2 linked regions of the Oreochromis niloticus genome follow. The protein of the gene in region 2 binds, or shares a complex with, the protein of the main gene of each other region. Links are inferred from orthologs where the notes say so. Each region holds a gene or a part of one and is shown on either strand. Other genes may lie near its edges.

Region 1 (17,100 bases), on a different chromosome or scaffold from region 2:
CTGTTCAAACCCCCACAAGGCTGCCCGCTGGGATTGAAACGATGGGAAGAGGTGTGAGTTTCTCAAAATGGGCTCATTGAATGCAGCACGGATAAGATCTTAGAAAGGCTTACGGCTGCTGTGAATACTCAGAATAAGACTGAGTGCAGACTGGATTACATCTCGGAAGGGCTGGCTCGACATAACATCTCTGAGCGTAAATTGGATGACATCTCGGGGAGGCACACTGTCGTGAGTCATTCTTGGGCACAAGAATGACAACATCACAGAGCGCAAGTATGGCGAAGCTCGCGGCTCTCCAACGGGAGATTGAGAGACCAGTGTTGGACTGTAGAACTGCTTGGAAATTCATATGAGTTGTTCGCACTAAAGTAAAAAGCACCATCACTCATGTGGATACCCCTTCGGCGCCAGCTGCGGTTGCAAGGCTGGGGCTGAACAACAACACCCTGATAACGACTGTGTTGAGACTGTTCTTCCCATTCCATGCAAGGCCACCTGGGTTGGCTGGAAGACTGTTTACTTAGCCTGGCAGGGCGAAGGACACTGTCTCAGCTGAACTCTGGACACACACACACGCACACAGACATATATACACATGCAGACATACACTCATCCCCCCTCCCCCTCCAAACGCCTTCGACGCTTATTCCCTTCCGATGCTGACGGTGGATCATGGAGACCAGCACATAGGCTGCAGGCCCGGATGTACTGTCTACATCGGCTGTCTCTCACCCTTTACCCACCCCTGTTGCTTGTCATGTGTTTCTTTGGTGTATTAAGAGTTTTTTCATGTGCTATGTGCAGAGGTGTTTTTTTTCTGTTCTCAAACTGATCTCCCTGTTGAAGCTCAGTCTGGGGGGAGTTACTTTTTTCTCCTTATCTTTCCTCATGTTGTGCTTTTCCATGTTATACCTCTCTGACCTGTCTTCCCCATGTGATGTTTTTGTGTAATGTATGTATGGTCGAAGGGTAAGATGGCCCCGCCGTTGCGTGCAATAGGTCGGCAGCCTTATGAAATTTCCCCTTGTGGGACTAATAAAGGTATATCAAATCAAATCAAATCAAATATCAGAGTCCAAGAACCGATAAGCGGGATCGATAGGCAGGTGGACTAACGACGTATTTATTCATGGTCATTCAGTGGAAGAAATAGAACAGTTTGTTGTACTGTCTGTATCAAACCGATATTATGAAAGCTATATAGCATGCCAAATAATTAGACAAAATAAATAATACCTACCAGAAGGAAATAACTGAACAGCATAATTTGCTAGCACAATATTGTCTCCGTCAATATCATCTAATTACATCAGTGGTATTTTAAATTTAGTGCCATCATAATTTTATATCAGGATCCAATTTAATTACCACATAATTTGACTTCCAACCACATATCTGCACCTTGCAATTTTCTCATTAGACGTCATTTGTGTTTAAATTAAGAATGCAAATGTTAACACAAAAATAGATCTTATACAGCCAAACATTTATACCTTTCCACTCTCAGTGTCAAAATAAAATATAACAAATGAGGCACCAATAATTTGAGTTGACCCTCACCTTGTAATCTAATTGTAACATTGCAGCTTTAGCTTGAATGATTAAATAGCGTTTACCCTCACTGACTTTATTTTTTGTCGCTGTTTTGTTTGAACAAGATGTTAATTTTCCTGTTCTGTGTAGACAAAGCAAACATAACACCAGACTGCTGGGAAAATGTACCCAGAAGAGAGAAGGGGGAGGAAAAAACAAAAAAACAAAACAAAACAAAAAAAAAAAAAAAAAAAAAAAAAAAAAAAACCACACACACCACACACCATAATCAGACAATAATTTCCCTCTGAATTATTGAGCACACCCCAAATCACAGTACTGGCAAACCTCAATACCAGAACAACCAGTATGACCAAAATAGTGCAGAAGCCCTCTGCTTTGACTGGTCAACCCTGTCCCCATCCTGTTCCCCTGGGCCAGGACGAATCAAAATACAGAGTACACAAAGTGTCACGAACTGGCTGTGTGGAGGCAGATGAGGACCCAAATGCAAAACTCACAGAGACAAAAGCTGAACTCAAAATCACTGCTTTATTGCAGGCTTCTGCTGAGGACCAAGGGAACACAGAAAGGCACACAGGTTCAGGAAAGAGACATTGACAATGCAACACAACACTGAGGGAGACATGGACATAAATACAGTGGGTTAACGAGGGAAGTAGAAGCACATGGGGAACACAGGTGACACTGATAATCATAACGAGACACGGCAGGAGCAAACACCACACTGACGTGAGACTATCAAAGTAAAACAGGAAGCACACAGGGAGGCTGATCAGGGGGAGAGAGAGAGAGAGCGCATGGGAGAGCACAGACATAACAGGCTGGGGAAAACATGGAATAAAACACAAGGAGGGGAAACAAGGACTCACAGATACACAGAGGGGCACACAGAGGGTAAAGTCACAAGGGGAAATCAAATAAGCAACATCTTAATAGAACAACGTAGGAACCCGAGCCGCCAGCGGGAACAGAGGCAGGGCCAGCAGGTGTGGGCACCCCTGGCTGAGGGGACGTAACTAGCTGCACAGGGCACGCAGCCAGCTTGGGATGCAACAGCTTGGGCTGTGCCGTGCAAACAGTCTGTCCAGGCTTTGTCAGCACAACGCTATCCTCAGCTGGCTGAGTTAGCTCACTAGAGCCTCCAGCAGAGGATGGCAGTAACTGAAAAGGTTGCTGAGCTACTAACTGAGCTGGTGACAGAGTTAATGACTGAGCTGATAACTGAACAGGCAACGAAGCAAGAAACTGAGGTGGTAACAGAATGGATGACTGAGCAGGTAATAGAGCTGACAACTGAGCTAGAGACTGAGCTGGTGACAAAACAGGAAACTGAGCTATGGACAAAAGTACAAGTTGTAGTGGTGGTTGTGATGATGGTTGTAGAGATGGTGGATGAGCAGGTAGCTGAACTTGTGACTGAGCAGGTGGTCTGATTCTTGGCTGTTCTCCTCCGGGGAACAAGAACGGGTACTGGGCCTGGCCGAACACCAGCAATCCCCACCCGAGGAACAGATACGGGTGCAGGGACGAGCTGGGCTCTGGCTGCCCTTACCCTGGGAGCCGGTGTAGGTGCAGGAGCTGGCTGAACCAGTGCTGCTCCCACCCGATTAACTGAAACAGGTGCAGGAGTCGGCAGGGTCACAGTTGCCCTCACCCGGGGAACCAGAACAGGCGCAGGCAACGGCTGGGTGTCCGTCAACCCCGCCCGAGGAGCAGGTACGGGTGCAGAGATGAACAGAGCGTCCGCCAGCCTGGGGACAGAAACAGGGACAAACTGGACCTCAGCCGCAATTCTTGGCTCAGAAGGAGCCGTTATAGAAATAGGAGCATTCTCATAGACTGCTTCTAAATACGCTGGCTGGTGAGCAGCACAGTCCAGGAGTGAAGAAACACCAACCACGGTCTCATGCTTAGCAGGCACAGGAGTAGGGATGTTAACACTAGTAGTGTGAATTAACTGGGTGTGCAACTAACTCTGGAATATTCCATCTGAGCTCCCCTAGCAGTTTACTCATGACGGACGGTAACTTGTTGCCCTTAACCTTAACAACCGTGACTGAATACACAGTTTTAGTGTTTTTAAACCCCGAGTTAACAGACTTCGCATCTGCTCTTGTTAACTTGGGAGGAGGAACATTCTTTATCCCTAGAGACGCAGTTTCAGAGCTAACAGACGAGGCAGTAAAATCTAAACGTGACAGAGGTTCAAATCAAACCTGAAGAACAGAAAGCGCAGCCTTTGAAGGTTGGAAGACTGTTCATTTTCCAGGGGGTCCCTTCCGGTTTCAGCAGGAACCTCAGGACTGTTTGTTTTAATATTTAGTTCATAGGCATGCGACTCAAAAATAGTCTTTCGCTTTTCTAAGATGAAATTATCCGTCTGTGTATTAATTACTGCTGACATGGGAGGAGCAAAGGAAAAACAGTCATTCTCAAACATGGGCGTGAGAGTAGGTAATGCAGGCTCTGAATTAACTGACCCAGAATTACCAGACACTGAGTTAATGCTCTCTGGGATGACGCACACAGAGTTTACAGTTTCAGAATTGTTTAATTCAACTGGAACAGCAGTCTCTAGGGGGACGATGAACTCAGTCTCATGCTTAGTAGGTGCAGAGGTGAACTTAGAAACATTGTGTGGCTTGCAAACAGTCAACTTTAAACTTACTATTCCTCTTCGATGAGTTACAGACACGAAAAACGGTGGACTCAGGAACAGAATATTGTCCAATTCGGTCCGGCTCGGAAGGAGCATGAAAGAAACAGATTCACTCACCACCAGAGTTTGCTCAGTAACTTTAGGGTGACAATGGCGTGAGCATCGTTTTTTTCCTGGGAACTGTGCCGTGAGTTGCTGGGGCCGTAGACGTAGGCACCTCTGAGACGTCGGCTGACTGAGCCGAAGACGGGCCGGGCTGCGTCGAACAGTCAGGGAGCTTGTGCAGCTCCGAGCGTGGAAGTCCCAGGAAAAGCACAAAGGACTGCAGCGGAGATGGGCTGCTCGTTGGAGGCACAAAATCTCTCCTCGGCCGCCGAGTACCCCCCTTCTTTGCGCGGGACGTGGGTGGCAATTGTGGAGGTGAGCTGGAGGTTGAGGAGGCTGGAGGAATTGTGGCAGGCCACAGACTAAATCCTCCAACTCTTATCACCGGGGAACGAGGTGAAGAAAAGGCAGCAGCATTTGCAGTTTGAAGGCTGAGCGACCCACCTAGAGCCAACCGAGTCATAAAAGGTGGACTCGCGCTCCCAGGCATGCCGAGACTCCTGCCTGCTCCTCTCGTTAGGAAAGGTGGAGTCTGCACGCTGCCGATTCCATAGGGAGTTTGCTGGGTCCATGACTGGTCACGTCGTACTGTCACGAACTGGCTGTGTGGAGGCAGATGAGGACCCAAATGCAAAACTCACGGAGACAAAAGCTGAACTCAAAATCACTGCTTTATTGTAGGCTTCACAAAGAAACAGAACTAAACTAGGAATGCTAAACTGAGGACCAAGGGAACACAGAAAGGCACACAGGTTCAGGGAAGAGACATTGACAACGCAACACAGAACTGAGGGAGACATGGACATAAATACACAGAGGGTTAACCAGGGAAGTAGAAGCACATGGGGAACACAGGTGACACTGATAATCATAATGAGACACGGCAGGAGCAAACAGCACACTGAACCACACTGACGGGAGACTATCAAAGTAAAACAGGAAGCGCACAGGGAGGCAGACCAGGGGGAGAGAGAGAGCACGGGGAGAGCACAGTCATAACGGGCTGGGGAAAACATGGAATAAAACACAAGGAGGGGAAACAAGGACTCACAGATACACAGAGGGGCACACAGAGGGTAAAGTCACGAGGGGAAATCACACGAAAACTAAGAATGCTGGGTCAACATGACCCAGGGTCATGACACAAAGACTGCAGAAAGATATAGTTATTATGGATATTATATGGAGCCAGAAGTACACAATGAAAAAGATGTCTTCTTTTATTGCCAAACCTGTCCCAAACATAGAAAGCAGCCAAGCACAGCCACTAGATATATTTCTCATTCCGATTCCTCTTTCATTTCTCAGTCCCAAGAAGGTGATGGGATGACCAACAGCCAGGTAGCGCTCCACACAGGTCAAGACGTGAAGTCTCGCCAAACCAGTTGGACAAATGCATAAGGGCCCCCACTAAAAGTATATTTAAATCTTGGTTGTAGTTAGCGAAACAAATGAGGATACATCCAAAACTATAAATTAGTTCCATAGTGACTATGTGGTATGTGAAACTGTCTGAATGACTTGCTGTTGATGCTGAGGAGACAGAGTGCCCTCTCCACCTTTGTTGCAGACCATAGTAGAGGATAAGTGTGCAGAGGAGGAGGAGGATATTGGTGATGCTGAAGGAGATGAAACGGAAGGAACTTGGTCTGTAGACAAGACACTGTATTTTCAAAGGAAGAGAATAGCTGATCAAGGAAAGAGAGTCATTGGAGGTGGATGAGATTACTGACATCTGGAAGAAAATATAAAATAACAATCACATATAAAACATAAAATCATATCAAATGTCAAACTGAGAAAATGTACCACTGTAAAAACAAAATAAGCTGATTTTGAATTTGATGGCAGGAACACATGGCCTTGTCCTAATTTTCCAATATAGATTTTTGACCTTGATCCATTAATTCAAAATTTCACAGTTTCTTTAATGATATTATGTACATCATACAAGATATTCAAAGTCTTTGCAATTTCATATTGAGAAACAGTATTCTTAGATTGTTCAACAAATTGTATATGCAGTTCTTTCCAGATTGGTGAAAATATGCCCGTCTAAGATGGTCTTGTTATATTATTTTTATTACCATTTAACGTTTAATATTTTTCATGAAATTACAAATTGTCTCACTTTAAACTTTTCTTATGGTTTCTGGCTCTTTTGTGGATAAAATATGTTTGTTTTTTGTTTTTTTGTACTCAGTCTTTTTGAAATTGCGGTTTCATGACATCACTCAATTTTCATCTGTCCTACTTTGTTAACCAATCCCCTGCACTTGCAGCAAAATGTATCTCTTTTCCACCGCTTCATTTCAAGATATGAAAATTATATTCAAAGATAGAATAAAACTACATTGAAACCATACAGAACATTGTGATTTAATTATGTCTTGAATGAAAAACTAAAGATGTAAAAACAGAGAAATATTCTATAATTGTTTAGTTGTGACAATATTGTTTATTTTATTTTTTTATGTTTAAAGAACTTTTCCCTTGTAAGTAGTGTGAAGTGATGGAGGATTGAGGAGGATGCTCTGTGGTGACTAAAGTGAGCAGCTAAAAGAAGAAAAAGAAGAAGAAGACTCTCTTTGTCAGTAGTCTGATCTTCCTCCTATTGTGAGACACTCTTGTAAATGTCTGATTCGAATGTCCACCTCTTTTAGAAAATGAGTGTTTTTGTAATAGGTGAAGGGAGGAGTACAGGAGTACACATGCTATAATTCAAGTTCGTTCTTTGAATCTTTTTACACGGTTAAAATACGTTGGCCTTTATATTTTCTTTGTTTTCCCCTTTTCCCACAAGGCCAGAGAACAATTAGCATGACGTTTATTCAGTGTTGTCAGTTACACGAGCCAAGGTGTGTCCATGACGGCACTCTGGATTGAGAGATTAGAAAAGCTGCAATGTTATGAAAATACACGTATAGTAGAAATTTAACTCAACCACAAAGATTTGCTTCTAGATGGCTGAAATGTGCTCTTAGAAGGACTTTGTAAATGATCACCACCAGCTAATCATGCAGCTAGAATGAAGCCATGCAAATGATACTCATTTTTTCAGAACATTTTCATAATTCAAATAACTTTGAAACAAACAACGATCCATGTGTATACAAATCAAGTAATGCACTTTAGGTCATCACAGCTGCCCTCGTGTTTTATTCAAATATGAGCTTTCTTGTTTTGATTCTCGCAGGGGTGTTTAATCATGAAAATAACACAAAGTGAATATGTGTATATCAAGAAGAATCGAATCACTGCTTTCGACCAAATGACCTATTATTATTTCTCACAGGTGTATTTTTAGTTAATAATATATTTAAAATTGATATGCAAAAAACTGTGACTCTGCCATAAGAGTCACATTGAAGTAATGCACCACGCCCCACCAGTCCACCCTTTACTTGCAGGGTTTTTTTTGTTTTTTAAATGTGCAACAATATTCATTTTATATCCGTGGAAATGAAGCAGTACATATCAGATGAAAAATCATAGGAAATGTAATATTGTTGGGTGAGCCATCCATCCATCCATCCATCCATCCATCCATCTTCATCCGCTTTATCCGAGGCCGGGTCACGGGGGCAGCAGCCTAAGCAGAGAAGCCCAGACCTCCCTCTCCCCAGCCACCTCCTCCAGCTTATCCGGGGGAACACCAAGGCGTTCCCAGGCCAGCCGAGAGATATAATCTCTCCAGCGTGTCCTGGGTCTGCCCCGGGGCCTCCTCCCGGTGGGACATGCCCGGAACACCTCACCCAGGAGGCGCCCAGGAGGCATCCTTGTCAGATGCCCAAACCACCTCAACTGGCTCCTTTCGATGTGGAGGAGCAGCGACTCTACTCTGAGCCCCTCCCGGATGGCCGAACTTCTCACCCTATCTCTAAGCGTTGGAGGATTTTTCATTTTCAATATCTGCAGAGTTGGTGCTGAACACTGGTTGGATGGTCCCCCTGTGTTTTGCCTACGGCGCCAATCAGTTCAAGTATGTTCAGTTAATAATCCAAGAGACAGTCAGTGTCAGTTTGACACTTTGGTGTCTAAATCTTTGAGAGACCTTCTTTAACAAGAAAATCCTAAAATGGCTATGAAAAAGACAAATATCAACAGCTGTTTTTCTTGTCAACAGAAAAACAACAACAAGAACACAACAGTGACTTTAATTGCAGTTCTGTATAACTAACACCAGATGGCAGTAAATAGCCATATGTCACTCTGTATCAAACACAAACTGATAACTAGCTAAACAGATGGCCACATAATGTCAGTGTATTTTTACATTGTCTGACAGAAACATTGTTGTTTCTCTCCCTGTACTATTTTTCATTCCTACAAATTCTTTCTCCTCTTGTATTTAAGAAATGACAAAACGAACCTACTTTTGGCCACTTCCTTATTCACAAGAGGTCCCCACAGCAGGTAAGTCCACTTATTTTTGTCACAAATACATATACAGTTGTGAACAAGTCTTTGCCGCTTACCCTTTTTTTTTGGATATTTTTCACACTTAAAGCTAAGTATATTAGAAAAAAACTGTTTTTATATCATTTAAATCATTATTTCATTTTAATCACGATTTTTAAAAAAATGATATCCAAACCTATGTGAAAATGTAAGCCTGGAAAAGGTTACAAAGCAGTTTTTACAGTTTTAGGACTCCACACCAAACTAAATGAGAGTCATTATCCACAAAAGAAGAAAACTTTGAAGAGTGGCGAACTTTCCCAGAAGCAGCTAGCGTACAAAAATTACTCCAAGACTGCACTGATGACTCACCCAGGAGGTCACAAAAAAACACAACAAAAAAGAAAGTCTACAAACGGAGGAAGAATTTAAGAACAGTGTTCCTTAACATAAAATTATACAGACTTAAATATTTAAAATAAAGTGATATAATAATGGATATAATCACTCATGTAAAATTGTTCTGAGGTCAGAGAAATTGAAATTTGAAATTACTTTTGGAAAACTTGGATGACCTCTGAACTAAAGATAAGAGGGACCATCCAGCTGGTTACAAGTGCTTAGTTCAAAAGCCTGAAACTGTTCAGGGGTGTGTTAATGCCTTTTGTTGTACCTTATACTTCTAATAATGCATGATTTTCTTTGACAAAAGTACAGCAAGTTCTAATTCTCCCACCTAGTCACACAAAACAGAAGTACAACTCATACAACCTGAGTTTTTCCTAGGTGTTTGAGGGAACAATTGCCAGTTTTAAAGAAAAATGATACTATAAGATATTAATACTATATTTAGTAAAGGAGTAATAACTTAAGAATCAACTTTCAGCTGCTCTAGTACACTATTGAGCTGTTGTAGTTTACACATTTGCTTGGCAATGAAAGGTCCCTGGTTCAGTTATAGTTGGAGATACAAATCCCATTTGGGGTTTTGTCCTAAAAAGGCATTTGAGGCAAAAGTCTGCCACATCAAACATGTAGTAATTCCCACCATGAGGTCATCATGGTGGGAATTACTACATGTTTAAAAGACCTGCAGTCAGCTGAGACTGAAGAACTCACTTGGATGAGTGACGAAATGTTTCTCCCACTGAAAACGCTACGTCCAGATGAACAGAATCAACTTTTGGAAAATTATCTGTGCCATTTTTTTTTTAAATATAAAGCTTCTGTTTGTTTGTTTTTTATGTCAAGCAAATTACTATTAACAGAAATAATACATGTACTTCAACTGCAATATAAGAAAGGAATAAATAAATGAGCATCATATAAAGATAATATTGACAATAAATCAATTTATGTGTAGGTTTTGATTTGAAAACAGTTCAATTATAAAAAAAAATAACTTAAGAATTAAAAAAATAAAATATAAGGTATAATACAAGAAATAGTCAAGCCATGTAAACTGAAGTTATTACAAGAGAAGAAACTGAAGAAAGTGGACTTCATCTACTATTTAGTTTGAGACTTTCAGCACTGGAGGGTGCTGTAGCCTCCCTTTTACCAATATAATATATTTTAAAGAAGTCTTTAATTTCAAGTGTACTTGGAACTCTGGAAACTGATCAACTTAGGGTTAAGCCTAAACCTTAAACAACTTTCAGTGCTCTTTCACACAAGATACCTGGAGATACCAAGGTACATGGATTAAGATATAATCATCAATAGACCCCAAGGTTGTTCATAATGGCTGTTGAGCTGTTACTGAATGTATGCATCTTTTTTTAAGTAGAAATTAAAAAAAACAAACCAAATAGATGCTGTTGAAGGAAAGAAGTTTTTTTTTTCTTGTTTTGTTGAACATATGTTTTCTTTTGTTGATATCAAAAGTCTAGTCTGTCATAGTAGACCCATACTCATGCTTATTATATTTAGAAATCTAATTTATCCATCAGTTTATTCAACTTATGTCCATGCCATGTTCACTTTATTTTAAAGTAGACATCTTTCTTTTCCCTCGCACATTTTCCAAAAAAAAGCTGCATCCATATCCACAGGGGGAGTTTCCTGTTACACGGAACAGGAGGAGAATGGGAGGAGTGAGGAGGAGGAGGAGGGAAAAGTGGGTGGAGAGGAGAGCAGGAATGTCCGAGCTGAGGCATTGTGTTCAGTTATCACACAACCACAAAATGCGAGAGAGTGAGAGAAAGGAGGGAGGAGGGAGGGAAGAGTGACTGCTGGGAAGTTGAAGCTTTCTCAAAAGGAGGTGTGACTCAGGCGTCGACGGGTGAACAGAGGCTCTTCCATGTGTGGATAGAAACTGCTCAACTGATTCATTACAGCAGGATTTTACTTAAAAACAGACTGGGAACCTTAACTTATTAAAAGTCTGATTGACAAGTGGAAGCCTGACCTACACATGTACAGATCAACTGACTGGACCTCAGACTGGTGCGAAGCTTGGATGCCTTGTTTACCAATTTAAAGGCAAATCAGCTGATCTCGAATCTGGTTGGAATTGATCATTTTTAACAAAACAGAAGACTTACTGAAACGTTTAATTAACCCATGTGACATTTGATTGGTTAAATGTACCTGACTGTTGGAAATTCATGGTGATCAACTGAATGGTTGCCTGCTTTGACACATTATTGGCATCCTGATCAACTGAGGTCCATCTGATTGGTTGATTGATAATTAAAGAAGCGCTGCTGGAGCCATTTTTGTTGGCATCGGGATGAGCGGAGCAGGGGAGGTGGTGTGTGAAGGGTGGCTGCGAAAGTCTCCCCCAGAGAAAAAGCTGAGGCGCTATGTGAGTATTTTATTTGAATTTGAAACATTTTGAAAAAATGAAACATACAAAAAACTGTGCATATGTTCTGTATCTTTGTGATGTCCAGTGTGGGTATATGAAGTATCCTAAAGCTGTACAAAGATTTTTAATCAGGAGTACAACTACAGAAGTATTACTAACTGTTCATGGAGGTTTGTCTCTGTAGCATTTAATTAAGTTTGAAGATTCGTCTCAGTTTCATCAGTGTTTACACAGTGAGTCATTTCCTACAGTTACACACTCTTGATTATAAAACAATAAAAACTATCCATCCTAACACACCTGTCAACTAGACAGGAAGCAACACTGTAATGTTACTTGACTTTGTACTACCACATTATAAAATAAAGAGAATATTTGTGGAAGGACAAAGTCAAGTCTATGGTTTACCCCATCCTTCACATTAAGACAGCTGAGATAGGCTCCATCACCACCATGACCGTGAACTGGATTTGCAGTGGATTCGTAAACAAATGGATAGATTTTTATTTCTAAAAAATGAGAATTCACACATTATTTATTTGGCCCTATTCAGAATACAGCTAATACACAAGCTAAATCTAGAGAAAAAGAAAAACAGCTCGATTGTATGCTATATCTTTAGCACAGCTACAATATTTCTACTACAGTTAGCATATTAGCGTGCAAGCTAGCTGTTTGTTTACTTCAGTCAGGAAGCAGACTTTTAATTACAGCTAGCACAGCAGTCAATATCCTTAAAGTGACATCTGTAGCTGTCTTGTATTTGTATCGTATTGTAGGTGAATTTATTTGTGAGTCCTTTCTCTATGAATTTATGTAAAATGCATACATCTTAGCCAAAAATGTTAAGCCTTAATCCCATTATCTTTGAAAAAACAAAAACAAAGATGTGACACAGATAAATACGCTGATCTTTAGCTGATATATTAGTCCTACAAACTAACTGTTATACAACTTGTCATTAGAAACATAACTGACTTAAAGATGAGCTACAACATTGCTACAATGTAACTTGTGATCTGATAAACATGTAAAATGAACAAAGTGGACAGTTCTAGCTGCTGTCAAAAGGAACAACTGTTTCCAGTTACATGTAAGCCACAAAAATGTTATTTAGCATTTTTCAAATCCCAAACCTGACAACCTGGCTCTGTGCCTGTAATGAATACCAGAGACTTGGACCAGTTTTGTTTTTTCCTGAATTCTCCTTCACTATGTAGAATAAGTGGAAGGATGGATTAATGAATTCATGCAAGTTGGTGTGTCCAGTGGCACCACTGGCTGCTTTATTCCAGTAAAGAAGCAGCTTAGGCAGTTAGGATCACATGCATGCACCGCATATTTGGCATACCTTACCAGTGAGTTGAGCTAATCTCATCTCTCCTTCCATATTTTCCCTTGATGTTTTATTCTTTCCATTTCTAAACAAATGTTTGGTGTACCTCTCTCTGTGTTTCTCTTTCATTCTTGTGCTCTCTCTTCCTCTCCTATGATCACATGCTTTCCTTTCCTCCTGCCCCCACTCTCTCTCTGTCTGTCTTTGTGTGTGTGTGTGTGTGTGTGTGTGTGTGTGTGTGTGTGTGTGTGTGTGCAGGGAAAGTGAAGGATAAAAAATAGTCTAGAAGAAAAAGTGATAGGAAGTGAAGCTGCCTTCAATACCAGAATCTGCTCAGGGAAAGCTGAACAATTTCCAGATTTGAACCAGCAAGCTTTTACGTGAGAAGACGGCTCTTTGATGAAATAGCTGAAACAAAGCATCACTAAAAGGCCGGCGAAAAGCACAGAGAAACTGTGCCAGCATTAATTAGGCAGACTTCAATTTAATTCTTCTTAGCTGACATCAGTAGACCCATCGCAGGGAACGTTTTTAGGAGGGAACAATCAGATTTCAAAGAAAGTGGAGTGCTGGAGTTGCACTTTCTTACTGCTTGGTTAAAAATTAAGGAGACCGTGCACATCCACTGGAATCAAAGAAGAAGAGCTGGAGGAAAAGGGAGAAGAAGACAAGAGACGAAAACGCAGAGAGGCGAGACGGCAAGAAAAAGAAAATTGCTCCAAACAGAGAGACCATTGTTGAGTCTGTGTATATATTCAGTCATGATGGTATATACAATGAAATGTGTGCATACACTGCTTGGCCAGCTGTGTCTCCAATATCAACACACTCACACTTAAACACACAAACATGCACAGTCCCCTACAATGGCAGAAGCAGACAGTTTGTGTGTGCTTGTTCATGTATAGTGGGTAAAGTTCATGGAGTGTACTTCGTCACACACTCCCTGTACTGTTGAAAGCTGTGTGTGCGTTATGTAATAAACTAATCACACTCAGCTATGCCTGGTTAGAAGATGAGGGCCTCCCTGAAGATTTAGAAGATTTGAAAACACACACACACACACACACACATTCTCTGGAAGCAAACCAGGGATAATGATGAGGTAAATTTTGAAACCTTGAGTACAATAACACATGTTTTACACACACACACACACCCAGAAGGTCAAACACAGTTGAAGAAAGAGTTGGCTCTGCAAAGGCCCTCTCTTGGATATATATCACAGTTTGGATACCTCCAAAAGTCCTGCTCTCCATCAATGTAATGGTGCAGTGGTGCTCTACAGACAAGTTCAAAACCTAGCCTTGGAAAGGTTTGAATAAAGAGCTCTGATTTTATGCATCCCAGCACCACAGATGCTCAAACACCACTCAGCAGCACCCACAGAGTTGAACGTTACTTAGCCACGGCCTGTAAAGTATGTAGCATTTATGGCACTCGATAGGATAATGGGATACAATGATCTGTCTAAATTGCTGGTGTGAATGGCTCTTATATTTGACATTTATTCCATTCCATTATGCGGTTGCATCCGATTAATGCGTAGCAGGATGCTACAAGATAAGTTTCAGTCAGCCACGGTACACCTGAAATGTTACATTTCACCTCGAGAGAGTTATTCATGATTTCAGTTTTTCAAGTTGAAAAATTCCTAACCTATGATTTAAATGAAATACAGCAAAGCTAATCCTGTTTCACTCTAATTTGGGTCCTATACCTTACATTTGTCTGTGTATGAAACTTTAGGCTGAACATGGGCAAAGCAGGAACTGTTTTATTTGGAAGCAGATCTGAATCACTGTGTTTACAGCTGTGAGATGGGGCGTTGACCTTGGCTGAGGACATGCTCTCTGGGGCAATTCTAATTTCTTTCTTTTCTGCTTGTTGGTTCTGCTCTAATATTGAGATCTGGGAATGACATGGCTGACAAGCACCACTAAAAAACGAAGCCAGTGAGCGAAGAAAAGACCACACTGAAAAACAGTTTAGGCATATTTATCTGGATTAGAAAGCAAACATAAACAGGAAAATTACCACCAAATTATCAGGGTTAAACTTTTATCTCTTGTAATATTTTCCTTTGCAATCTAAGCTTTAACTTCTTCTTGACGCTCCAAAGAGCATCTGAGGAAATTCTGAACAACTAATAGAATAAAGTTGCTATTGGTCAAAGTCATTGATCCATCCTGGTACCTGCTGTTTCACTTCCATAACACAAAATAATCTTATTTCATCATATCTTGAAATGAACTGTTTACCCCAAACATCACATTCAAACACTTTCAGAAACAATTTGTCTAAATCTGCCAATCAAAAGAAACTTGAAGCTAACTAACATTGCATCTTAGAAAGGGACAGGGCATGAAAGTGTTTACATCCTGTTACACGAATCGTAAGCCAGGACCTCTAATAGTGGGTTGTAGATGTACACTTCCTTCTGCACAGTCAGTCATACAGTTAAAAGGTGCAGTTCAGTAGAAAGAAAACAGTTCCTACATGAAACTGTTCACTACAAGTTTTGTAAAATATATTTTTGGGGAACTGGGTCTGATTTGTGGTAAGAAGTGCTGCTGCTGATGTTCTACATGTAATTTAGTTCTATTATATTTAAAAGAAAGCAGACATCTCCAAAACTGGGCAAATGGCACCAAGCTAGATAGATTTTAAAAAGGATGCTAATTTCATTCCATTTAAAGCCTCTAAAATCTATGAAGCAAACTGAGGAGTCCAGCTTCTTAGCCATATTCACTTACAGCTATGTTCAAAATATTATTCATCTAATTTTTGTTTATGTTGCAATAAAGCATTTAGAATAATTTAGGTTTTTTTCAGTTTCTCATAAATGAAACTGTCTGCAAGTGACAGCAAACAAACTGAAGGTGTTTTAAAGTCACATGTCTGCAGTTATGAGAGCTCAGCACTAAATGGAATGAGAAGATTAGGGATTACAGATGAGAAGAGGAGGAACTGAACAGCAGGAATATTGTTATTCAGGTCTGGTGTTAATTTTGGCTTGGAGACAGGATGGAGGAAGTGTTATTTTAGATCCATTGTGCCCTTTTCCTGCTGAGGTCAAAGGTCAAAGAAAGAAACCAAATGAAAGGAGAGGAGGAAAGAAACTGTTAAAGGAAAAGAGGTTATCTTCATTACTTTAGGTGGATTTAAGGCCACTGCATGGGAGCACAGTGCACAGTGGACATAGGCAGCAAACAACAGATCAAAGGTAATGCTATAAATGTTTCAGAATAAATGCTGTCCAGAGGTTACACTTGGGATCTTAAATATAACAAAAGTATAAACTGGCACAAAGAACATCAGTAATTGTTTGCTGTCTAAACTGTTCTGACCACTGTCTTGGTGATGATAGTGTAGTAGAAGTACAGTTCCAAATAAATAAAATATGTGATGAAATATATAAACGGTTACCACTGTGCTTAAAATTTGATCTTTTTCATCAGATCAGCAACTAAAAGGACGATGAATGGACAGTCCAAATTGTGAAATCAGCAAATGTGGAAAGTAATCTATGTGAGTCAAGAACAAATGTTGGTCTTAGACATGTTATTTTTCCTACTGTTGGCCTTAGTATAGTAGCCTTAGCATAGTAGCATGCATCCCCAATATGATCATCTTAGCCACACAGCTGGGACTATGAGCAAAAAGCCCCACCCACCGCCATTCAAACTTTTTGTTTCGGCTTGGCAGCCAATCTGAAGAAAGTTGACTTAAAGATAAAAGGATAAATAAGAATTGTTTTGAGCTTGGAACCATGCAAACCTACTCTTGTAGAGTACAAGAATAAAAAAATTAATAATAATAATTTAGAAATGAGCATGATAAATGTCTTTTACTAAGAAGAAACAAATCTCATATTTGTAAAACCTTACAAAGACATGGAGACAATCTTATCTCTTGTACTGTGGAACAGCAGAAAACAAAATGAATGATGCCCTAGACTTGTCACTGCATGGCAGGCATGATGTGGGGTAAATCAAAGTCCAGCTGACCCAATGGATGCAAGAAAAAAAGGGTGTTTGTAGGCATACACAAGTACAAGGATATACTGGAGCACTAGAGCAACATGTAAGTAGAAATGCATGTTGATAAACAACCTGCTGACTTCTCCAACCTTCAAAAAAGGACCATTACTACAGGACATCGAATTGTCAGTGAGTCAAGGCAGTAATACCAAAGGAAAAATTTTATTCGTCTCTGTGATGTCAG
Region 2 (16,685 bases):
GACACCAACTCGACAATGTACTGGAAACATTTGTCAGAGATTTTTGGTATATTGCTGCTGTAACTCATCTGAGGTGTAATGGGTTATACTCTTCTGCATACCTTGGTTGTTACAAGTAGTTATTGGAGTAATATTTGCCTAAACTCAAAGCAAGCCAATTTCATCTAACCTCTGACATCAAACCATTTTCATCCAGAGAACCACTGCTTTCTGGATATTTTTTATATTTTGGACCATTCTCTAAAACCTCTAGAGATGGTTGTGTGGGGAAAATAACCCAGTAAATGAGCAGTTTCTGAAATACTCTGACATCAACAATCACGCCACGTTATGTTAGGTGTCAAGTTATTTGCTAGCCTTAGCAGGCAAGCTGAAGTTAGCCGACACTAGGCATTTTTGTTGAATGAAGCCTTGCGAACGCAGGATTTGGCCTTCAGGAGAAAATTTTTGTCAACATTAACAGGAAATTCAATACATAGCAAGACTCAAACCCTTAACCTATCGTTCTTCTGGTTAATGTTAGTGAATACAACTATTGCTGATGCAGAAATCGTATATAAACAAATACTATCTTGAGTAGAAAAGGTCAGCTAATTCCAAAGTCTGCCATTTTCAAATTACTTTATTAGCTTACATTACTGGATGTTGCCAGTACAGGCATGAGGTTGCAACTAACTGCAGTTTGCTTGCTAACATTATTCCTCCTGAAATCATGTACGGTAGGTAGAAAAGCTAACTGGCTAGCTTGCCAAATTATTTCACTGGCTACTGTGATCCATGACACTAATTTACAGTTAATGTCCAACACTATTAATTTTAGTCAGCTGTCAATTTTATAACTAGGGTTCCACGGTGATCCTTATCACAATTATTTTGTTAAATATTAAGATCACAATTACTTATGATTATTCATTGATTATAGTGACAAAAAAATGTCATGTAAAAAGAACCCGGTTTTCACTAACTTCACCTAATTTATGGTTATAAATTTATCTTTGCAGACAAATAATGAAGTCTTTCACTTCATTCACTGTAACTCCATGTCTAAGTATGAGGTTTCACAATGGCATAAAAGTGAGACAGAAGCTATGTCCATATTTTAAACTGTCTGCACATACAATAGATATGCATGAAAGCATGAGCAACAGGAGGCAGTTCACTTCACATCCATGGGTTTTTTTTCTTGTGTAATAAAGTTATGAATATTTACTTTCATTTTTAAAGATGTCGATAATACAAAAGTACATGAATAATAAAAATGAACACAAATGCAGGACCACTCACCTCAAATTCTTCCCAGAATCCCTGTTTGACCTTGTCTGTTGCCTCCGCTAGTTTGCTAAGCTCCCTAACTCGACTCTCAATCTCTGCTGCGTTAATACGGGTAGTGTTCAGAGGCTGCAAAGGCCAACAGTCAGAAGAGAAACAAATCAGGGAATGTTTCCAATGTTTCTCTTCCTTTGCAAATGAACAGATTCTGAGGCAGGTTATATAGGCACGAATGCTTGGGAACACATAGCTACAGGAGATGGGTCAAACCTGTTTAAGCTGAAGCACAGTGCCCAGAGTTTCAACCATAGGGTTCTTCTTGTAGTGCTCTACCAAGTCTGTGAGAGAGTCAAACTTCTCCCCTCCACCCACATCATACTTCAGGTCATGCTGAGCAAAAAGACACAGGTACATCAGCAATATAATTAAAAACAGACTGGCCTCATGTTATCAGAATCAAGATACAGATGTCTTTTGTATACAACCAATTCATATCTATGTATACAGTCTTCAAGACCTAGGTAAAATTTTACAAGGTATGTTAATTGACTGAATATCTTGTCTTAAAATATGACAAAAGATATTGTTGCTTTCAGTAATGTGCAAAAACTCTATTTTATAGAAAATGAGTTACTGCAACACAACTTCTAGCTTATCCACCTTGGGTAACAGCAGCTATACCACTGGGTATTATTAAAAAGGATTTTTCTAAGACAGCATTCTGCTTCTGAACTTGAAATTTTCATTAATCCATGTCATGATTTTGAAGAGGCAACTAAGTAATACTCTGTAATGCCACAACAGCAGTCTGGCCTGTTAACCAGCCAAAAGTTAAGAATTATTAAGGGCCAGGGCTAGCTGGTTAGCAAGGCTTTAAAAAAAATAAATGGTCAGCTAATAAATCTGTTACCCTTGGAAAGATGAAAAAGGTTAAACTAAATCTCTAAATGTACTTGGGTGGCTGCTGGTATACCTGCATGCTACATGGTGCACAGAATTCAGACACACTAAGAGGCAGAGTTTAGGTGTGGAAAACAGATGGAGTGTGTACAAAATCTGGATCTTACCTGGCAGCGGATCATGACATGAGTGACTTTAGGTTTACTGTCACTGCTGTCTGTTTTGTCATCTCCAGTACGGACCGATAGAACAAAATCTCCCGGATGGCTCTGGCTCTCCCTCACCAGGAAACTGCCATTCTTGCCTTTCTCAGTGAGCAACTTCTCAGCCTCCCTGCCCGACAGGTGTCCGTGGAACCATCTGCAATGCGAAAATATGAAGCTAGTAGAATATATCACGTAACAGAAATGTGCTTCCATATTACGTAAACTGCAAGATATGCCCTAGTTCACTTGAAGTAAGCACAACTTATCACAAATAAAAGACATAACATTAAAATCTGAAGCTTATAGTTCTTACTTACTGTGTAAGTGTGAATTGAATTGGCAACTATAGTGTTATCAAATAGTTTAAAAAACAACACCTGTGTCCAAAATGGTCCTATGTAAATTTAATATACAAAGTGTTCAGAAATTATCGACAAATAATTTGGAGTTTTTTTGTTTTGTTTTTTAGAACTTTTCTGCCACAAAAAAAATATTACATGAACATTAACACTTACCTCTCTGAGGTGGGATCTGCACAGTTGAGTGGATACTTGAGCTCAATAACGTCACCATTTTTCTCTTTCAGCTGTCCATGATGTTCCATGTAATACTGCACCAGCTCTGCAAGTGTGGCAAACTTCTCCCCGCCATAAAGGTCGTAGTAATCTCCTGTGTTCTGGATCTTAATATGGGTGACTGCTCCATTTCGCCTGCAGAACAGCACAAACATTTATGTTACTATCACATGTAAGATCGTCAACATCATCAGGTTACAAATGTAGGAACATCTGGCCTATGATCCATTTTTTCCTCATATTTTGAGCTCAGATACGAGCTAAACAGCCAAAATATTATGAAGTCATAAAATTTGCAGAATTTTTCAGCGTATTTTTCTCTAATTATTTTAGTTCTACCACTGTGTAGTGTCCATTTTTGTACACATAAAACTGGTCTGTTTTTCACTCTTCACTGCCCTCTTCTGTCTTCAATTATATGACTGAATATTTTATTTTAAAAAATAGTTTTAATAATCAGTTTTGGGGTAAAGGTTAGGGAGGGTTAAAAAATAAAATAAAAATTATCACCATCAGCTCCAGTTATGCAAAAAGAAAAATAATACTAATAATAGAGCAACTTGGACATTTGGCATGCAGACTGGAACAACCAGGGATCTAACCACCAACCTTCCAATTCTCCTAAGCTGCATCCACAGGAGCCCTTGTTAAATTGAGAACTGAAACAGAGACTCTCTCCACTTAAAAACAGGCTTAAAAATGTCCATCCATCCATCCATCCATCCATCCATTCGCTTCCGCTTATCCTTTCCAGGGTCGCGGGGGACGCTGGAGCCTATCCCAGCTGTCATAGGACGAGAGGCGGGGTACACCCTGGACAGGTCGCCAGTCTGTCGCAGGGCTTAAAAATGTCCTTTTTGATAAAGCTTATAGTTACAGCTTGATCAAGTGACCCAGAGTTATGCCGCAACAAGCTGCTGGGGGACTTCCATGACGCACTCAGCACCTTACTCATCACTGACCACGACTGCATTCAAATCATTACTAATTATTAAACTCTTAATCTTTCTCCCATAGTGTGTCTTTTGTCTTGTCTCCCTCCGCACTCTTCTCTTCCCCCCTCACTCACACCTGATCGTGGCAGGTGGATGTTTTCACCATACAATATAAAATGCCTTGAGGTAAGTGTTCTTGTGAATTGGCACTAGATAAATGAAATTGAATTCATTTAATTTAATTTTACTTGAATTAAATTTTTAAAAAATAACTTATAAACAGAAGACGATTACATTGCAAAACAGGATATAAACTGTCTTAGCTCTTGAATCACAGAAGTTACATTAAGCTGTAACTTGATAACAAACAGGATGAACCTACAAATGACAGTGTCGTGAGTGTCAGCTTTAAGAGGAGATGGCATCATGAAAGTACAGAAAGCTATAGGCAATCACTCTGACCATGATTAATCCCCAAGATTAAGATGTTCACAATATTTCTCACTTGTGAAAATTAGTTCTCTTGATCTGACAAAACAAGATTTTATGACATTTTCCAGATGAAGTAATTCATTGGATCTCAATCAATCAGGACATTAGGTGATAATGAAAATATTTGGTACTCTGTGCCTCCAGCTTTCGTCTTTCAAACAGAACACAAAATTTTATACTGTCACCAACTTTAGGAAACTGTTACAGGCACAACATTACATTAAATGAACTGAAACAACCCTTAGGTTTGTTTCTGTTCCAGCCCTTCTGATGCAGAGTGAGAAATGATACAAAATTAGCAAAGTGATAATCAGTTTAACACTGTGTAACATGCACCACTAACACCACTGGGTATCATTTCTATTTGCATATGTTTTTTGGTGATACAAACCAGACTAACTGTTGAGTCATTATAGGTGACTGCCATCAACACAGAAAATAGAAAAAAGGAGAACTTGTGGCAGATATGCAGCTCAATTGCTGTCAGCGACTTACAGTTAAAAAAAAAAAAAAAAAAAAAAAAAAAAAAAGACACGCTGGTTTAAACTAACGTCCTTGTGGAAATGTCAGTTTCCACACAAGAAGCATGATTTGTTTTGTTTCCATAGGAAGTAAATATGGTGCAAGATGAGAGACCGTACAGATGAAATATGTGGCTGTTCCAAAAATAACACTGGCTACATCAGCCAAACTGACTTAATGATACTTTATCTTGAAATAGAATTTATGACTTGACAGGCCTCAAGATAAAACTACAAAGTTGTTTGTTTTTTCTGCATCAGCAAACACTGGTCTTGCCTTCTTCAGATAATACTGCATTTCTCACTATCGTCCAAAATTGTAAAGGAAAGACAACAATTTAATAGTCCAATTATGCTGCAAGGGACAGAACATAAAGAACTAATACAGACATATTGTGTCATGTTATTACTTAAACAATTCCCTCTTCACACACCGAGCAGACCAAGCAAAGCTATTACTCTTTTCCAGTCATGTTTGTGTCCACCTGATAAATATAAGTCTAATATTTACTCTCAGGCTTGCTCTGCACCAACTCCTAAGTGAACCATCTGGCCATTAAGCTGCTAGATGTAGATGTGCTAGTTTCCAACTTTGCCTGCTTGTTAGTTTAGTGCTGGGTAGCTAATGTGCTGCAGGGGTTTATCTGTGCTTGTTCGCTCAAAACACCTGCCTGCTGTTCCTGGAAACGAATCTGATGAGAGCAGAGAGTGGAAAACAAAGACAATGATACTAAACAGACTAAAACATCCTGCAGAACTGAGGGATTATTCTCTGTAGATTTATCAAAACCTAATTCAAGTTCCACAGTCTTTTGACTCACTGTTACTGCCAAAATACTGATTAGTCCAACTTAATGAGGTGTGGTTCTACTTGAAAGCAAAGTAGGTAGGATCATTTTAATATTCACTTACACTGCTGTGGTGAAACTACACTGTCCTGAAGATGGACTACAAAAAGTGTGTCTTAAATGTTGCTTTATGCAGATCATAAAATAGGAGAATCCAGTAAAAAATATCACTCTTGCAAAATTTGGAGTTTACATATATTATCTCATTTTTTAAAGTGAAATTAAATGATTTGTTGCTCATTCAATCCATTTATATTTTCTCTTCCAGCTGAAGGGATAATGCTGTATAACTCCTGTCTGTTTAAAGGCCTTCAGCATCTGTGACCAAGCCCAAAAAAAAATAAAAAAAATAAAAAAATGGAAAAACCTAAGGCTGGCAATACTGAAAAGTCCAACCATTCAAAATTTACTTTGATCACCTTAACAGAAACTCAGTCTTTGTCAAGTTGATTTGTAAAAAATTTTTATAAAGTGCAAAAGCAGATTTTATTAAAACAGCGGAACAATCACAGTTCATCCATTGCTTCCTGTATTGTAATGGTTTTTAAAACTCTTATGCACACCACAGGGATAGCCAAAATATCAAAGCAAACCTCTGTAAAGTTGACTCTGACAGTCAACTTTGTATGTTCCTTGTTTCCTTACTTGTTTCATGAGCAAGAATGTACTGTTTTATTTTTATTTTAATCTAACTTGTAAAAGGGTAATGCAAAACAATTCTTCTGCTGTAAAGTCAAAGAAAGGCATCCAGATCATTGAAAGAAAAGAAAAAAAAACATTGGATCAGGAGACAGATTATTCAATGTCCAAATGTTTGCTCCAGTAACACTGTTTAGTTTTCACAATCCCCACAGTACACTAGGGATGCACCTCTGGAGTATGGTGCTTTGTACAAACGTGTGTAATTTCACTTACCGTACTGAGAGCGTGAAGTCTCCTGGATTGCTTTTACTGGGTCTGGCTAAAAAGCTCCCGTCCACTCCACGAGTCAGCAGAAGGTTTTCAGCCTCCACACCTGTGATGTTGGGGTGAAACCACCTGAAAGAGGACAAGTAAAATAACAATTTAGACTTACTGTTAAGTACATGCATTTAATTTTTACTCATTATAAAGTGCATTGTGTGAACTTTTTGCCAAAAATCCATACATTGCACAACAACAACATGACATAATAAACTCAGAGTTGATGGTCAGTTATAGTACTAAGAGGTGCCCAAAATTATGAATTAACTGCTTAAAACTTGATTATTTGCAATTTTCAATCCACTATTCAGAGAAAGTATTATCAAAGTTCTTCTAAAAGTTTGTAGTTACATCTCCAGTCACTTATCTGGGCATTTTGAAGTAATACTCAAGTTTAATTTGAATGGTCACCTGGACATGAAAGCTGAATCTGATTAAAACAGCTTAAATGTGTCAATGACTTACACAATAATGAGGATTTCAAAAGGCCACTGGGGAAGTTATTCCTATCACCATCCTTGCTGTTAAAAATGTCTTGCCTAGATTTTAATAAACGATTCCTTTGAGAGTCTTGTCTCTCTCTTACAATGTTTCTGGTATTATTGCACAGGGTGCTTGCTGACATCGAGACTGATTTGGAGCCAAAGGTATAAAAGAGCCACACTGTCTTTGTCTTTCTTCACTTCCTCTCTATCCAACTCTGTATATTCCAGTAAAGACATTCGGAGGCTGACTGCGCTCTTTCTACAAGTTGCCACCCGGCACTCCCCCGAAAAGACTGCCTGCCTGTTTCACTCATGCGTCCATTGTGGTCATCTCCTGCCTCTGCCTCCCTGTGAATATGATCTTCATCTTTTCCCTCTCGTCTGTACAAGAAGTCTGTGGTCTGTGCACCATCTATGTGAAATATCTTTATTCCACTCGCTAACGATGACTTTTTAACGCGTTACATTTATAATCTAAGGAATTTAATTTACTTAAAATGTTGAAACTGCTATGACTTCTGCCTACTCTGCACATATCTATAACGTGAAAGCACTTCATTTCCGTTTTTCTGATGCACTCCTGCTGTTTTCCCGTTTTCTCGTTAAAATGACTCGTTAATTTTTGTATCAATATGGGGTGTCTTATGTTCAGTTATTTGTAAATACAGCTGGTTTGACTTGGACAGCAGCTCAAAGCATAACAAATCAATCCAGTAAGATGCATCTGTTAACAGCAGCTGTAGCAGGGTTAGTTAACTTTAACTGTACCTATTAGTAACTACAGTTTGTGGACAGCTTAGCTTTGTATGTTCTGTACCAATGTTACAGCGCTGTTTACTTAACAATTTAAGACTGCTTTAAGTTGCCGGTGTAACGCTAAATGAAGCAGCCCTACACCACCTATTTCTGTTTATTTCCAGAAACGTCGGAACTCTCATTGACCGTCTACCGACATACCAAGATCCAAACAGCTGAGTTCACTTAAAGTTAGCAGACTCAGCTAGCATTATCAGCAGACATTGTTTTCCAGACAGCCCCCGCTTACCTCCGAGATGTCATTTTTTTCGTTCCTCACTTCCTCGCTGGCAGTTAGCAGTAGCTTTAATTAGCTGGCTAACGTTTCCCACCGTTAAAGCTTCAGTTACAGTATAAAGTGCTTCATTGGTTCACATCCGGTCAAAACGGGCACCTAAATCTAGTTAAGCATCGACACAAATTTTTTTGATAGCGCCCGTTACAAAAAAATGTCTCTAGGCCTCGGCCCCGGAGACTTCACAGCAAGTCGATTATTGGACGTCACCAAACCTGCGACAAAACAGAGGGTGTAATGGATTTTTTCACCCTCGGCGGCCGTTTCTCGTGGTCGCTTTAACCCGCTTAAATAAAAGCTACAGATCTCGGTCCGTCCGGTAAACGGCGTCAGATAAATTAAAGAGCCAGATCACTTTCACTCAGCGCATGCTCGTTAAAAGGTTTTTTTACGATACAGCGGCGAAAGCGGCAAACGACGAAGAACGTCTGCGAAGGCTTCTCGAACAGTTCGTTGACTGTCTGTGCTCACGGCAAAGCGAAACTTAATCGCAGCTCTAAGCCCTAACGGGAGATAAATTACATTTCATATGTTATTTGTGACGTAATTAGATGCGCAACCATTTTTAAAATGATATTATGAAACTTTCGTAATGTTTTGTTGTGGCGACTCGGGTTATTAGAAACGCGTAAAAATAAATACAGATAAAATTAGTATACATTAACAAATTTTTTCTGTTTGAACATTTTACATGCAATCTTTGAGCTATCCAATATTTGTCATTTGCTTTGTAAGCAAAAACATATAAAATATTTCACATAAAACAGAGACTACCTTAGGAGAAAGTCAAGTGGTGATGTAAGTAACTTTATCACTGAAGCATTGTACTCTTTTCCCCAAAATAGTACATCCATAAGACTGGTGAACATGCATCTTCCTTTTAAATCATTTTATTTATATTTGATCCAACAAATATAAATATTTGGAGAAACCTATTAAAACCTTGGCCAACATTCAAGTCATGATGGATGAGATTTCAACCTGGCAAACAGGGTGCTGGTGTAAACTGCTAATATTGGCCAAAGACAAAGGAAAAGAAGAGGAGGAGGGTGTGTTAGGAGGCAATGAGAGAGTAGGAAAGACAGAAGTCTGGGGGTTAAAGTTGGCAGTATAAATATACTGTGGTAGATATATTGTTTATGCAGGAGACCAGATGGAAGGGAAGCAAGGCCAGGAGTATTGGAGGGGGATTCAAGCTGCTCTACCATGGTGTAGATAGAAACAGGAGTGGAGTAGGGGTAAGGAAGAGTATGTGAACAGTGTTGTGGAGGTGAAAAGTGTCAGGCAGGAACATGAGTCCGAAGCTGGAAATCGAATGGTCGATGTTGAATGTTGTCAGTGCGCATGCCACACAGGCTGGATGTCAATTAGAAGAGAAAGACAAATTCTGGAGTAAGTTGAGTAAGTCAGATGAAGCAATAATGTCCCCAGGGGGGACATTATTGTGATTGGTGCAAAATTCTATGGACATGTAGACAAAGGGAACAGAGGTATTAAGTAGGTAAGGTGTTAGAGAAATGCAGAGGGACAGATAATAGTACATTCTGCAAAAAGGATGGAAATGTCTGTACTAAACATGTACTTTAAGAAGAGGGAAGAACACAGGGTGACATATAAGAGATGAGGAAGGTGCACACAGAGGGACCACATCTTATGCAAAATGTGCAATCTGAAAGATATAGGAAACTGGAAGGTGGTGTCAGAGGAGAATGTCATTAAGCAGCATCAGATGGTTGTCTGTAGGATGCCTTTGTACATTAAGAAGAGGAAGCAAGTGAAGGCAGAGGCAAGGAGTAAGTGAAAGAAGTTGAAGAAAGAAGAATGTTGCACAGAGTTCAGGAAGAAGTTGAGGCATACTCTGGGTGGAAAGAAAGAGTTACCCGATGACTGGGAAAGTACAGCTTTAGTGCTGACACTGGTGTTTGGTGGATCCTCTGGACACAACCGGGTAAAGCAGACCTGGTGGTGAAATGATGAAGTACATGAAACTATAGGAAATGAAATGAAACAGGTTAGTAAAGAAGGAGTGACATATTTAGGAGATGAAGAAAATAGATAGGAGTACGGGACGGCTAGGAATACAACAACGAGAGAGGTGGCAAATGAGAAGGATTGTAGTGTGTTGTAAGTAAGAAACTAAGGAAGGAGAAAAGGACTTTTGCTGATTGGCTAGACAGAGAAATTGAAATGGAAAGTATATGCTGCAGGTTAGAGTGGTTAAGCATAGAGATGAAAATGTACTAACAATAGAAGAGAGTGTGTTAAGATGACGGAAGGAGCACTTTGAGCTGCTGATAATTCCAGAAAATGAAGGAGACAGGAAAACAGATGGAGAAAAGTTAGTGAATCACAATGAGTGGAGGATTAATAAGGAGGAAGTGAGGGCAGCTATGAAGAGGATGAAGAGTGCAAACCGAGTTTATCCAGATGACATACCTGTGAAGGCATGGAGATGTCTAGGAGAGCCGTGTTCCAGGTTGTGTTAAACAGTCTTTTGGTTCAAACTGTTTAATACAATGTTGTAAAGTGACAGGAAACCTGAGGAATGGAGAAGAATCAAAATACTTTATTAAGCTGAGGGGAAATTATTTGGTCACTGTTGCTCCAAGACAGTAAGAACAGTAACTTACTAAACTGAATTAAATAATACAAAATATTACAAAGTTACAAATCTAACAAAAAAGTATTCAAGTCTGTCATTCATGCCACACTACAAAAAAGTCTTACAGTGATGCACTGTGTCTTCAAGTAGTATTATCTTCAAGTAGAGTTTTGAACTGCTATGCAACATTAATAAATTATTATTATCATTATTATTGTCGTTACTGCAAAATGCTATCAACTGATATGAAATGTTTTCATAATCGTGTACTATTACTTAGATGACTTAGTGCTGTTGTTTTGGATATTTTCTTATTATATTCTTATTATATATTTGTATAAATATATGTATTTAACTCATTAAATTAGTGCATTTTCACTTATGTTCGTTTGATTTGATTTTTTTTATAAATCAGAAAAAAGTATTTACATTCAGAGTAAAAACACAAATTATAGTAAACTAAAGAACACGACTCTTTAATTATTCGTGTTGCACATAAAGACCCTTTACGGGGTTGACTTTGGCAAGCAGATATAACTTACATGGACTTAAGGGACTTCTTCCAATAACAAATGAGAAAACGAAGAGTTGTCTTTCACTTCCTTTTCAGTGTGTGTCATGTATTCTCGGAGGTTTGGCCCTCGCAGGTACCCGTGCAGTAAGCCCGTACGTGGCAGTCTGAGAGCAGCACAGAGTAGCCGAGCTTGTTGCGGCTCGTCTCCTGCAACAGTCCACTCACACAAACTGGATATACATTAGCATAGAAAATTTTTATACCGTCAGCTTTACGTTTACGCTCTCCATACAACCACGGAAACATGTTTACCTTGTCGGAGCTAGTTGTCTTGCTGGCCGTCCTGTCTGCCACTGCTTCTGGCTACTTCGTTAGCATAGACGCCCATGCCGAGGAGTGCTTCTACGAGCGGGTCAACTCCGGTACCAAGATGGGCCTCATGTTTGAAGTGGCCGAAGGAGGCTTCCTGGACATCGACGTCGAGGTGAGATGTTTCATTCGGATAGCAAAAGAGTCACCTAACGCGAGGCAGAATGTACTTGTAAATCATAAAATGCAATGCAACACAAGGCCTGTGCTAATGTTAGCTATTAGCCGGTACCGTCAGGTAAAACTAGTTGGATGCAAAGCAGGTGTAAAGGATTTAACATACAGTTGAATGGAAAACGTTTACATCTTACAGAGTTGCTTTTTTTAGTTTCCCGCTAAGAGCTGCTCCATAATGATGATTAAATTACCCATTATGATATAGGAAGTGCAGCATTAGCATTGTTTCTAAGTTGCTAATTATGTAGCTAATTATTGATTATTGAATAGTCAATGCGCTGTAGACGTTGTAGAATTCGTTTATTTTCGCTAGTTTTAAGCAGAAAATCTAGCTATTTCTGCAGACAGTCTGACTTAGTTTCTGCCATATGTTTCCTAAAGCACATCATGCCCGTCATGTTATTCTCCACTCAAGCAGCAATGTCAGTTATTTAGATATTCTTCTATCTCCAGATAACAGGACCTGACGGTAAGCAAATTTACAAAGGGGACAGAGAGTCCAGTGGGAAATACTCTGTGGCAGCGCACATGGATGGAACCTACAAGTTCTGCTTCAGCAACAAGATGTCAACCATGACACCCAAGATTGTCATGTTCACCATTGATATCGGAGAGGCTCCCAAAGGCCAAGATATGGAGACGGAAGGTACACAGTGGGGATTTATGTAGTTTAACCGCAACTCTTTTTATTCCTGTTGCTTGTAAAATTATTATTCCTTTTATTCATTTCTCATTTTTTGACTTTATTATGTGGATTCACTGTTTCCCTCTTCGTAGGTGGTGACAGCTGGGATGGTAGGGCACAGCAGGCTTTGACTAAACTACTGTTGTGAAATAAATTTTTGAGCTTGTGATGCACTGCAGTCTTCTCTAACCAGAGTTGCGTCTGTAGTAAAAACTAATTAAGCATACATATGTCAGACGCGGTGATGTTTGCGAATGATTTGACTTGTTGCACATGTTGAGAACATGTATGAAGTATAAATGCAGATACATGCATCACAGGTGTGAAAAGGATATGCACATCTTGCATGTTTTTTTTTGTTGTTTGTTTGGGGGGGGTTCTTTTTCAAATGGGGGTAGCAGGGTTCTTTACCACTGTGTTGTGACTCATCACTGACAAGTCACTTTTCTCTTGTTTCAGCCCACCAAAACAAGCTGGAGGAGATGATCAACGAGCTGGCAGTTGCCATGACAGCCGTGAAGCACGAGCAGGAGTACATGGAGGTCCGTGAGAGGATACACAGAGCAAGTAAGAGCCTTTACATTAAGTCCAATAACCATTGTAATCATAAGTGTAGATAAATCTTTATAATTGTTCTCCTCTTCTTCTCCATCCAGTTAATGACAACACAAACAGCAGAGTGGTCCTGTGGTCATTCTTTGAAGCTCTGGTTCTGGTGGCAATGACACTCGGACAGATTTACTACCTGAAGCGATTTTTCGAAGTGCGGCGAGTGGTGTAGTGCTATTCAAATGATACTCCTCTGTGTCCTCCACTGTACTTTTTTGTTTTGTTTTGTTTTTCCCCTCCAACACCAAGACAGTTATTTACACTGTGGAAATGAGAGTGGCAGTTTTGAGTAAAGCCTACATGTGATTGGATCTCAGAGGTTTTGTTCTCTTGTTACCTGTTTGGTTTCTTCTTTATAAATGTAATTTATGTTTGGAACGAATGGCCAAAAGATTGTGGGATAAATTTCAGTTTATTAGTTTTTCTTTTTAACAGATCTGTTTAATTACAGTTAGTACAGTTGTTTCCTGTGCAAATGACTGTAAGGCTCAGTGTCTGCAGTCAAATGAAAGACTTAAAATTGCACATGAATGGACAGGTATGTGTGGAGTCAGAGTGGAATGTTGCCTATATTAAGTTTGAAATGGGAACCTTTTTGAAATGATAAAAATGGCACATCTGAAAACATCAGTGCAGTAGTTTAGTGTCTGAGATAGGAAAAGTTTGATTTCAGGTGTCAAAGCCAAGTCAGACTGGCAGATACTGCCAATGTGTTAATTCTCAAAAAACACAAATTGCACTCCCGATGAACTTGTCTAGCTATCTGAAAAAATTTACATTACAGCTGGTCTTTAAGGGAAACTATACAGCTTCTAACACTGTCTATTGATTCATAGCGATTTGTGGCACAGGTGGGTGGTCATCTTTTCCAGGGGAAATTGTGTGGCTCACTCCCCACATAGTTCAGAAATAGAATTCAACGGCGAAGTCTTTTGTTTGCCATAAACTAACATTTATGATTGTCAAACTCTTGGATTTTAAAAACTTTGGCCTGGCTGTAAGATCATAAAAAGCAGAGGCGGGGTTGAATTTTAACTAAACTATTTGGGGTGCCTCTCAAAGTATAGAAGAATACTGAAATCCATGTTACATGTTGATTTGGGTGGGCTGGGTAGGTAGGGGGTTTAAACATTTGAATTCTTTAGTTGCTTCTATAGTTATTTTTTGTTAGGGTTGGGGATTTTAAATTATACGATTGTATAAAATTCGAACTGTTAATTTTTTCCCCCCTCTTGAGCATTACTTGTGACAGCTGTTTGGATGAGGTCTTTCTTCCAAGTATATACGTCCAAGGCAGTAGATGTTTCCATTTAGCCACACCATAAATGGTGCATGCACCAGATATGCTCCAGATTTGTATTTCAAATAATTCATGGTGAGCGCAGGCAGGAAAGTTGCTCTGTACACAGTCTCTCCTTTTTGTGAGTGCAACAAAATCAGCTAAATAGATCTTTACAAATGTAGGACTGTGGTCTGTAAAAAAAAAAAAAAAAAAAAAAAAAAAAATGCCCCAGGTTTCATAATAAAGCCAATATTCTGTACAATTATTTTGATGTCTTTATAAATGGGTGTGACGTTTCATTATGATTAGAGAGAAGACACTTGTCAACAGGTGTAATTTCACCATTAAATTAAAATATTCCTTGGAACACAGCTGCTCCTATAGTTTTTCAAGATTTTAAGAGGTTTATTATCCCAGAACATAAGGACCAGTGAGGCAACACTGTATCAACTTAATTAAAATGAGTAATACAAATTAGGCAATCCAATCTAAATTTAGAGGAAAAAACACATATAAATAATTCACATTAATATCCAATGGGTTTTACATGAGAATTATACTTAGGCGTAAGCTCTACGTCATAACTTGCACCATAACCAGAGCCTCATTTTAACAGTATGTTGTAGCCTTCTACATAACCTGATATGCACTTCCTCAGAAATGTAACCACACGTCGGGTGGACACATACCACAAGGACTTGGAATGGCATGGAAGGTTGCAGTGTAGGCATTAAAGGAATTTCCTGTTAGGATGTAAATTTCCTGCAAAAGTCAAAAAATCAAGCTTTAGAGTGCAAGGAGAGGGCTGGTATGAATATAAATATAAACTTTAGGAATTACAGCATATAACAAATTGTCATGTGTAATGTATTATTGTATGAGTCCCTGGTGTGTGGATATATGATTGGTGCTATGATGCTGCACATCCTCCTTCCTGCTTCATTAATGAGCAGGGTGAGAAGATTCCTGCATCTGCTAACATTGATGTCTTTAGTGAATAGAAGGCTACTGCCGATGACCTTCTGTGTGGTACTTGGTCAGTGCATTGCCTTTCTGTCTGCACCTGAGCCATGATGAAAAAGCTACAATACAGAGGTCAGTCTGCTCAAGTCTCCTAGGTAAGTAAAGATAGTTTTCCAGATGACGACGTTTTTTATTTGAATCCCCATTTACTTGAAACCGGCGATAACCTCAACAGCAGCTCCTCCAAAGTAGAGGGGCAGGAACTCAGTCCTGTTTATTTTGTCCATGACAATCCACTCAAAGCACTTCATAACTATAGGAGTTATTAGATGATGGTCATTCAGGCACGAATGCTGCTGAGGTTTTTGGAACAGGAGTGATGGTAGCAGATTTAAATCATGTTATCTTAGCTTGAAAGAATAAGATGTCAGTCAGTGGCTCTGAGAGCACCTCTGCGACCAGAAAACGGGAGAATCTCTGGCAGAAGAAACTAAAGCAATTGTGTCCAAAGAGGAAGCCAAAAAAGCTGTGTTTAGAGAAAAAAAAGTACTTTAACAAAAGTACCAATAATATAATATGAAATGTGAAAACACCTAACTGCTGCCGAGCTCCTGCTGCAGATGTTTAAGATTAAACTCAATTTAAATACTTTATACTTTGTTCAATCTCCACTAATGGATCATATTCAGATGTCTGTGGTAGCTGTCCTGTGAGGAACACTACAGCTTTCCCATCAGAAACACTACATATTGATTTTTTAAAAATATATTAAAAAGCAGATAAATTAAAAAGATTGAGGATTGTGTGACATAGTTAACTGTATGCATCTACAGGAGTATAAAAATGAATGAAAAATGTATGTAATGTAAAAATGTACATTTGGTAAACCAGGTGATTTTTCAGAGATGTTAAAAGTGCTGGTGGAGTATGCATCTTGCCTATGTTATTAAACCAGACATGGCAGGAATTACACCCTCTGTTTTTCAAGCTTTCATTACTAATGTACTAAATGAGTTATTAAAAGTAATTTACATCACACATGTTGGCTGAGTTGGTTTCCAAGAGAAGCTCACCTGTTGCAGTGTTGCAAAACGTTTGTATAGCATAACAGAATCCTGCTTGAGATAAAAGGAGAGAGATCGCTTTCACTTTGGTACGTTTTTATTGATATCTGTTTTTAGATTTTGTTAGCTCTCGCTT

Evidence for each region.
Region 1: the proteins of ptpn11a (region 2) and gab1 are in contact, whole or in part, in a crystal structure (PDB 4QSY), measured with the Homo sapiens proteins. The link is inferred for Oreochromis niloticus from reciprocal best matches to the Homo sapiens genes PTPN11 and GAB1. Residues at the interface, in NP_002825.3 of Homo sapiens: Gly13, Val14, Glu17, Arg32, Pro33, Ser34, Lys35, Ser36, Thr42, Arg47, Thr52, His53, Ile54, Lys55, Leu65, Gly67, Gly68, Tyr81, Gln87, Leu88, Lys89, Glu90, Lys91, Ile96; in NP_002030.2 of Homo sapiens: Lys623, Val625, Glu626, Tyr627, Leu628, Asp629, Leu630, Asp631, Leu632, Asp633.

What each region holds. Positions count from the first base shown.
Region 1 is NC_031967.2:38,048,075-38,065,174, forward strand, and holds the start of gab1 (GRB2-associated-binding protein 1), read left to right. Parts: upstream 1-10,907; 5' UTR 10,908-11,459; coding exon 11,460-11,534; intron 11,535-17,100. UniProt on the Homo sapiens protein: Adapter protein that plays a role in intracellular signaling cascades triggered by activated receptor-type kinases. Plays a role in FGFR1 signaling. Probably involved in signaling by the epidermal growth factor receptor (EGFR) and the insulin receptor (INSR).
Region 2 is NC_031972.2:11,307,559-11,324,243, forward strand, and holds the start of ptpn11a (tyrosine-protein phosphatase non-receptor type 11), read right to left. Parts: upstream 8,751-16,685; 5' UTR 8,254-8,750; coding exon 8,240-8,253; intron 6,785-8,239; coding exon 6,662-6,784; intron 3,086-6,661; coding exon 2,891-3,085; intron 2,530-2,890; coding exon 2,337-2,529; intron 1,660-2,336; coding exon 1,540-1,659; intron 1,399-1,539; coding exon 1,285-1,398; intron 1-1,284. Other genes in the region: tmed2 (transmembrane emp24 domain-containing protein 2), read left to right, coding at 11,705-11,884, 12,400-12,592, 13,091-13,198, 13,288-13,412. UniProt on the Homo sapiens protein: Acts downstream of various receptor and cytoplasmic protein tyrosine kinases to participate in the signal transduction from the cell surface to the nucleus. Positively regulates MAPK signal transduction pathway. Dephosphorylates GAB1, ARHGAP35 and EGFR.